2 linked regions of the Cricetulus griseus genome follow. The protein of the gene in region 1 purifies or fractionates together with the protein of each later gene. This does not show direct contact. Links are inferred from orthologs where the notes say so. Each region holds a gene or a part of one and is shown on either strand. Other genes may lie near its edges.

Region 1 (3,745 bases):
GGTCCTTTACTGGAGTCCGCTACTTTGGTCCCTTGTTTCTCTCTCTGCCTGTAAGTCTTCATGACTCCACATAAAAAGGCACTTTTGTTCTGTAATGAAATTTTCCATTCATATTAACATTACTATTATGTCTGTGTCTAATTAAATTTAAATAAGATCAAAAGTACTTTTTTCTACACTGAAATTAACATTACCTGCACATGAGAGAGATCACTATCCTTAAATTGTTGAAGAACTGCCAATGCGCCGTCTTCATTGAACTCTTTTAAAGCTTCGATAGCTCTTTCATCTAAATCACTATGTGCAACTAGCCCTGGAAAGAGAAAATGTAGTTAGTTATCACCTTTTAAAATTTCCAAATTATTTCTTCAGAAAGTCCTGTATTGGCCAATACAGGTACACACACGTGGCGATTCTACTCCCCTTATCTACATAATGAAGAATATATTTTAGCCATTCTGAGCTAAGTCCTCTCAACCACACAGAAAGAAGTCAACATATTTTACATCCCATTTGTGTCCAAGTAATCCTGAACACTGCAATATTTCTACAATATATAAGCCTACAAATCCTGTCAACCAACAAAACACCAAGCATAGCAACTGCAAGTCTACTCAATGTCAAATGCCACTAGAAAAAAAGGAACCACCACACCAAGAAAAACAAGAGAACTAGCCTACAGTAACCAAGTTATTAAACAAGAACCCTGCTTTAAAAATACCCCAAAAAGTCACATGGGCTGCTCTCAACATTTAGCAGCTGTTGCTACTATCATATACTTATCTGTCAGGCCAGACAGCGTTCCCCTAAGGGAGGTCTTTTCCCCACTTCATCCCTCCCTCTACACTTTAACCTCTAGATCAAACCTAAATTAACCAACTATCAGAACAAGGCAAAGCTCCAGTTCCCACATTTATTGGAAACCACAAAAAGTTGCTATTTTAGCTCAAAGCCAGAAATCCAATAGAAAAATTTCATAATGTAATTTTGCAAGTGTTGTTTCTTACCTGCAACGTAAATTTCATCTAGTTTTTCAGCAACTTTCTGTGGTAAACCAGCATCAAGCAATGTCTGAAAATTTTCTGAATGGATAACTGCAGAAGTAGTATCCATGGGCTCTTCAGTACCATTTCCATTAACATGTTCTGTAGCCATGTTTCCAGAGATCTGTTCAAACGCAATAAGCAAAATTAAACTAGGGTCTTCAAAAAGAATAGAGGACAATGACAGTCCCAATCTTTACTTTCTACCAGTAACTACAACCAGCCAGCCTGCGCCTCCCTCGAAAGAAACCTTAAAGTCACCATCGCCTGACAAGCCAGATTTGGAGCCCGGGGTACAGACGGACCGATGCACTACATTCTTTCCTGATCACCACCCCTGACTTCACCTGCTAACACTCGCTAGGAAAAACCGTATTACAAATGAAGCCCAATCAGCACAGGGACCGGCCGAGCCTGCCACATGCAGCAGTTCCAAAACGGAGAATAAGGTGTGTGTGAAGAAAAGCAACGCTGGGCTTGTCTCTCTCCAAGGTAAACCAGAAAGTGCGCTTTTCCCGCCTGCCGCTTATAGATCAGTAACAACAGCCAGCGAAGAACAAAGCGCTCACACAAGCCACCTTCCCACCACCCAATTCCTCCACCCTTCACCCCCACACCCCAAAGCCCGCCCCCGACTCCGCACCCGGAGCGGCAGCCTCACCACTGCGGCCGCCAGGAGCCCATTAGAAACACGTGCTCTGCGCCTTCAAATGTCCTACAACTTCCTTCAACGGAAACCCACCGAGTACCGGGCCAAGGCGGTCGTCACCGCCTCTCAACATCAACCCGCAGTCGCGGTCCGAGCCCCCCGAACCGTGCAGCCGCACAATCTCGCCTCTCAACACCGAGGCCGCGGCGGCGCCAGGCCACGGGCTCTCCCCGCCCCCCAGCGCCGCCGTCTCCGCCTTGACACATGGCTCTCCGCCCCGGGTGCTCCCCAGCCGCCCGCGACCCCCGGCCTCCCGCACCCCTCGGTGCAGCGGCTGCGGGCGCCGAGGCCGACAGCCCGCGCCGGGAGGGCGTTCCGCCGCCAGGCGCACGCCCGCGGGAGCCCAGCACCGCCCAAGCCCGCCGGCCGGCCGGCCGGCCGCGGGACAGCACCCCGCGCCTCTCCGCCCACTCCCGCGCCGCCGGCCACGACAGCACCAAGTCCGCCCGCCGCTCGCGGTCCGCGCGGGCCACGGGGCTGCCGAGGCGCCTCCTCCCGGAGCGCCGCAGACAAAGCCCGGCCGCGGCAGCACATGGAGAGGAGGAAGTGGCGGCGCGGCCGCGGCCTACTCCCTGGCAGCCCCGGCCAACGTGCTCCTCTCCCCCTTGGAATCCATTTTCCAGAAAAGCCGGTTTCTCCCCGCGCCGCCCTCCCCCAAGCTCCCTCCACAATGTCATGGAGCCCCCCTCCCAGACCCGGGTGCCGGCGGTCGTTACCTCCCCGCGGGGCTGCGGCCGAGGAATCCTGTCCGACCGGGTCGGGTGGCGGGGAACGCGTGCTCGCTGCTCCCTGTGTCCGGCGCGAGTGGAGCTGTTGTAAAATGGCGGCCGAAGCTCACGCCGCTGGCAGCAAACCCGATCCAGTTCCACTCGCCTCCGAGCGCGCTCCCAGTGCGCGCGCGCGCCCCCGCGTGACCCCCCTTCCCTCCCCTCCCTGGCGCGTCCGCTTCTCTCACTCACTCCCTCAGCCCCTGCCCTCCTACAGCTCCTCCTTCTCCCCTGCCGCCGCCGCGCCGCCGCCGCCGCCGGCCGCCGGCCGCCCTGTCCCCTCGGCCTTCCTCCTTTCCCTCCCTGCACCTCCTCCCCCAGCGTCCCCACTCCCGTCCGCGGCCGCTCAGACACGAGTGGCCGCCCTTCTCTCCTCCTCGCTGGCACTCTGGCTCACGCCCTCCCTCGCTAGCTCTCTCGGCCCGTCCCCAGTCCCTGCCGAGTCGCTCTTTCTCTCTCCCGCGCTGACGTGACGACGCAGCCGACGCCTCAGGACGCGCGCCCGTGGGCTCCGCCTCCCGCCCCGCCCCTAGCTCCTGGCGGGGAGGGGGAGAGGGGAGTCGAGACCCCGCCCTTCCGCCGCGGCGGCGATGAGGGGCCAAGTGAATGAGAGACCCGCCCTCCGTGCGGACACTCCCTCGCGCTCCGCGGGCGGGGCGGCCTGCTCGGCGTGTCCCACTCGTTCTTTGTCAGGAGACAAGCATCTCCCCACCCCGCCCTCCCCGCCCCCACCGCCCCACCGCCCCGCCGCCGGCCCCCGGGCTCCGAGGGCTCCGAGGGGCTCCGGCACTAATCGCCCGCTCGGCCGGGACCTCGGCCGGGGCCGCCGCCGCACCGCCCCTGGGCGCTCGGGAAGCTGCAGGCGCACGTGTCCCCCGGGGCGGGGCGAGGCGAGGCAGACAATGGGGCTGCGGGGGGGAGCCGCACGGGGATGGCGGAGCTCCGGGCGGCCGGGTGGCGGGGCTCGAGTTCGGGAGTCACCCCGGGGAGCCCCGGCTTCCGCCGCTGGACAATGGGGCATCCCGCGGCCCGGCGCGCGCCGTCCTCCCGCTCCCACGAGTCCCCTGGGCGGAGGGAGGGGCACCGCGCGGCGGGTTCGCGAGGAAATCCCAGTGCCTCCCGCCCGGGGATGACACGGAGGCCAGATTTGGAAGCTTAACCGGCCCGGTGGTGTTGGGTTGTGCAATATTCCGTTCCTGTCCCTGGCCTTCGAAGCAGTTGAGTGC
Region 2 (3,664 bases), on another chromosome or scaffold:
ATCAATCACCAGGGATGGTGGTAGTCCACGCCTTTTATCTCAGCACTCAGGAGGCAGAGGCAGGTGGATCTCTGAGATCCAGGCCAGCCTGGTCTACACAGTGAGTTCCAGGACAGCTAAGGATACACAGAAAAAAAACCTGTCTCAAAACAAAACAAAAAAGCACCTACAATGACTGGTAGACATTTGTTCTTCATCAGAGTGTAACATAAGTTACATAGCTGTAAAGTACAGTTCCAAAGCTACCTGGCAAGAAGAAGAAGAAAAAAAGCAGGGTGGTAGGGGTGCACACCTCTAATCCCAGCACTCAAGAAACTGAGGCAGTGTAGCTGGGCAGTGGTGGCACACACCTTTAGTCCCAACACTCGGGAGGCAGAGGCAGGCGGGTATCTGAGTTCTGAGGCCAGCCTGGTCTACAAGAGCTAGTTCCAGGACAGGCTCCAAAGTCACAGAGAAACCCTGTCTCAAAAACCAAAACCAAAACCAAAACAAAACAAAAAGCTACATGGCTCCCAAAGGAATTCTGCAACTCCCCACAGTTCCAAACAGAAACCCCAAAGAGTGGAGACACAAGACTTTAATCCCAGTACTTGAGTACTTGAGAGCACAAAGCCAAGTAGATGTATCTCTGCAAGCTTTAAAAAAAAAAAAAAGACAAAATGGGGCTGAAGAGATGGCTCAGCAGTTAAGAGCACCAGCTGTTCTTCCAGAGGACCTGAGTTCAATTCCCAGCACCCACATGGCAGCTCACACCTGTCTGTAACTCCAGTTCCAGGGGCTTTATGGCACCAAGGAAGCAGCATGCATATGATAAATAAGTTTTTAAAATAAATAAGTTTTTAAAAAATTCTTTTGATAGGTATTGTTTATTACATTTCTTTCTTTTTACTTAATTTTTCCGTTTATCTTACATCCAAAATAAATAAAGGAAATTAGCTGGTCCTGGAAGTGGACACCCATTAACTGCAGCATTTGGGAACCTAAGTAGGACTGGTATACCATCAAGGCCACTCTGAGCTACACTGTGGTAATGTCTTGCTTGTACAAATAAAGCCTGTTTGAGGGTCGGAGAATGAAGCTTGCCACTAAGAGGTCTGTAGATCTGTCCATTTACACTACATAGCAAAACTCTGTCTCAAAACTCAAACAAAGGGGCTAAGCACGATGGTTCTGCAAGTTAAGGCCCTTTTCACCAAAGGTAACAAACTCAGCTTGCTCTCCTGAGCCCACACAATGGAAAGAGAGATCTGATTCTTTCAAGTTGCCCCCTTATAGGTTTATAGGTTTGCACACACACATCCATACACACCACAAATACAAGTGTAATTAAAACTTAACGATGCCGGGCGTTGGTGGCGCACGCCTTTAGTCCCAGCACTCGGGAGGCAGAGGCAGGTGGATCTCTGTGAGTTCGAGGCCAGCCTGGTCTACAGAGCTAGTTCCCGGACAGACTCCAAAGCCACAGAGAAACCCTGTCTAGAAAAACGAAAAACAAAAACACTTAATGACGGGCTGGAGAGGTGACTTAGTGGGTAAGAGCACTGACTGCTCTTTCAGAGGACCAGGGTTCAATTCCTAGCACCCATATGGCAGCTTACAACTGTCTGTGATTCTGGTTCCAGGGTACCTGACATCCTTGCCAAACACCAATGCATATAAGATAAAAACTAATAAATTAAAAACTTAATATAAAAGAAATAGAACGCACACAAATGCAAAAACAAGATTAAGAAAAGTAAAATCATAAACCACAAAACTAAAATATGTTTAAAATCTCTACTCCAAAATGCAGCCTGCTCTCATTCAGCACCCAAGCCCTTCTAGTAGGCCCCATGTCTCCCTTTACTCACCTCAAATTCCCGGATGTATGGTGCAATGCCACAATAAGGTTGGTTGTGATGTTTTTCATGTGGCAGCTTTTCTAGGGGTGGCAAGTACGGGATGGGGTCTCGAGGGGCAAAGAGGGCCAGAAGGTTGGGAGGCAGAAACTGTGTCATCTTGCCAAACCTGAGACCAGAAACCTTAGGTTAGGGAACTTTAGCACAGGAGGTTCCCTCTAGAACCCCTTCACTCAAAATCAAACAAGCAGACAGGAGAGATCACGAGGACGCTGCTATCTATCCCGGGTGAGCCGGTGGAAGACATCTGCACGAAAAAGGTCGGTCTTGGCAGGAGCTGAGAAACAAAGGACTAAAAACACAGAAAACAAGGGAAAAGGAATCAGGAGGTGAGGGACCTAGAGACCTGAAGCACTAAGCTCAGAGGGTTGCTGGCCTCATACCTTGGAGATTACGAGGTAGGGGTCTCAAGGTAGTCCAAAAAGATCAAGCCAGGGGATCTGCGTAAAATATCTAGGATCCCAGAGGCGAACGGAATTATGGGTACAGATCCAGGATGCGACAAAAAAAAAAAAAAAAAAGCGAGGAAAAGAGGCAACACATAAAACGCAAGGGCCTGTGGGTAGGGGACCGCGAGAGGCAGGGGGAGGGGGACGCTGAGGGGACTCTGGGTAAAGGATGGGGTGGTTTGAAGCGCGGACCCGGTAAGCGGGCCTCAGGCGCGGGTAGAGAGTTCGGGGACCCCGCAAAGGCTTGTGGGTAGAGCGGACCCGAACCCCGTTAAGGCCACTCATTCACTCACTCACCGCGCGGCGCTCTCCTCGGCCTGACGTTAGTCTCAGGCCTCGCGGCCGCCGTTCACCAACAAAAACTCCCGCTCTGGCTTCCACTTCGGCGGCGTCTGCGTCAGCTACCTTCAGAGGTCCGCGCCGCGCGCGCAAACCAGGCCGCTCCTCACAACCCGCGCGGCCTCGGCTCGCGACAGGAACGGAGAGGGATCCGGTCTAGAATCCCTCCGCCGCACGCACCGCGCATGCGCCGCACGAGTCAAAAGACACCCATTTTGAGGTCTTGGCTCTACAGCGAGCACTGCGCACGCGCAAAGCCAAGACTCCGCCGTCAGAGTCCTTCAATGCTTAGGCTGCCTTGGCCTGGCAAGCGACGTGCGCATGCGTGCTCAGGCACTAGGTCGGCACCCACCTCGCGCTCTAGCCAACCGCCTATGCCCGCGAGACACTTACTGATGCCCCACCCCTTTCCCCTTACACTTCCCGGACCCTGTACGCATGCGTGAACGTAAAGTGCCAGGTGGAATATCCTTCCGCAGACTGTTAAAAAGTACCTACCTCATCAGGGTCATTGCTTTTATTTTATTTATTCATTTTTTTAAAGATTTATTTATTGTGTATACAGTGTTCTGTCTGCATGTGTCCCTGCAGGCCAGAGAGTGCACCAGATTTCATTACAGATGCTTCTGAGCCACCATGTGGTTGCTGGGAACTGAACTCAGGACATTTGGAAGAGCAGCCAGTGCTCTTAACTTCTGAGCCATCTCTCCATCCCGGGTCATTGCTTTTAAATTCTATTTAATGGATAAGTTCTCTCCCAAGTGTCTTGTATGTTCTAGACACTGTTTGAACTCTAGGGACACAACATGTGACAAAATAGTCTTCTTGGAGCTTACATTGTTTGGAAATATAATACGTTTGTTTAGTGGGTTTTCTTTTTTGTGTGTTCTGTTGTTTTATTTTTCTTTATTTTTTTACACAAGGTTTCACCGTTTGGCTCAAAATTACCTTGCAGTGTGTGTGTGTGTGTGTGTGTGT

The links. The genes of interacting proteins can lie anywhere in the genome.
Region 2: the proteins of Syncrip (region 1) and Snrnp70 purify together in Homo sapiens (affinity purification with mass spectrometry; 3 studies listed by BioGRID and IntAct, counting the BioPlex papers as one, with this or other methods). This does not show direct contact. The link is inferred for Cricetulus griseus from reciprocal best matches to the Homo sapiens genes SYNCRIP and SNRNP70.

Annotation. Positions count from the first base shown.
Region 1 is NC_048597.1:198,399,763-198,403,507, forward strand, and holds the start of Syncrip (heterogeneous nuclear ribonucleoprotein Q), read right to left. Parts: upstream 2,664-3,745; 5' UTR 2,469-2,663; intron 1,168-2,468; 5' UTR 1,156-1,167; coding exon 1,008-1,155; intron 314-1,007; coding exon 195-313; intron 90-194; coding exon 1-89. UniProt on the Homo sapiens protein: Heterogenous nuclear ribonucleoprotein (hnRNP) implicated in mRNA processing mechanisms. Component of the CRD-mediated complex that promotes MYC mRNA stability.
Region 2 is NC_048599.1:154,300,743-154,304,406, forward strand, and holds the start of Snrnp70 (U1 small nuclear ribonucleoprotein 70 kDa), read right to left. Parts: upstream 2,856-3,664; 5' UTR 2,645-2,855; intron 2,385-2,644; exon of another isoform or gene 2,282-2,384; intron 2,008-2,281; 5' UTR 1,998-2,007; coding exon 1,851-1,997; intron 1-1,850. UniProt on the Homo sapiens protein: Component of the spliceosomal U1 snRNP, which is essential for recognition of the pre-mRNA 5' splice-site and the subsequent assembly of the spliceosome. SNRNP70 binds to the loop I region of U1-snRNA.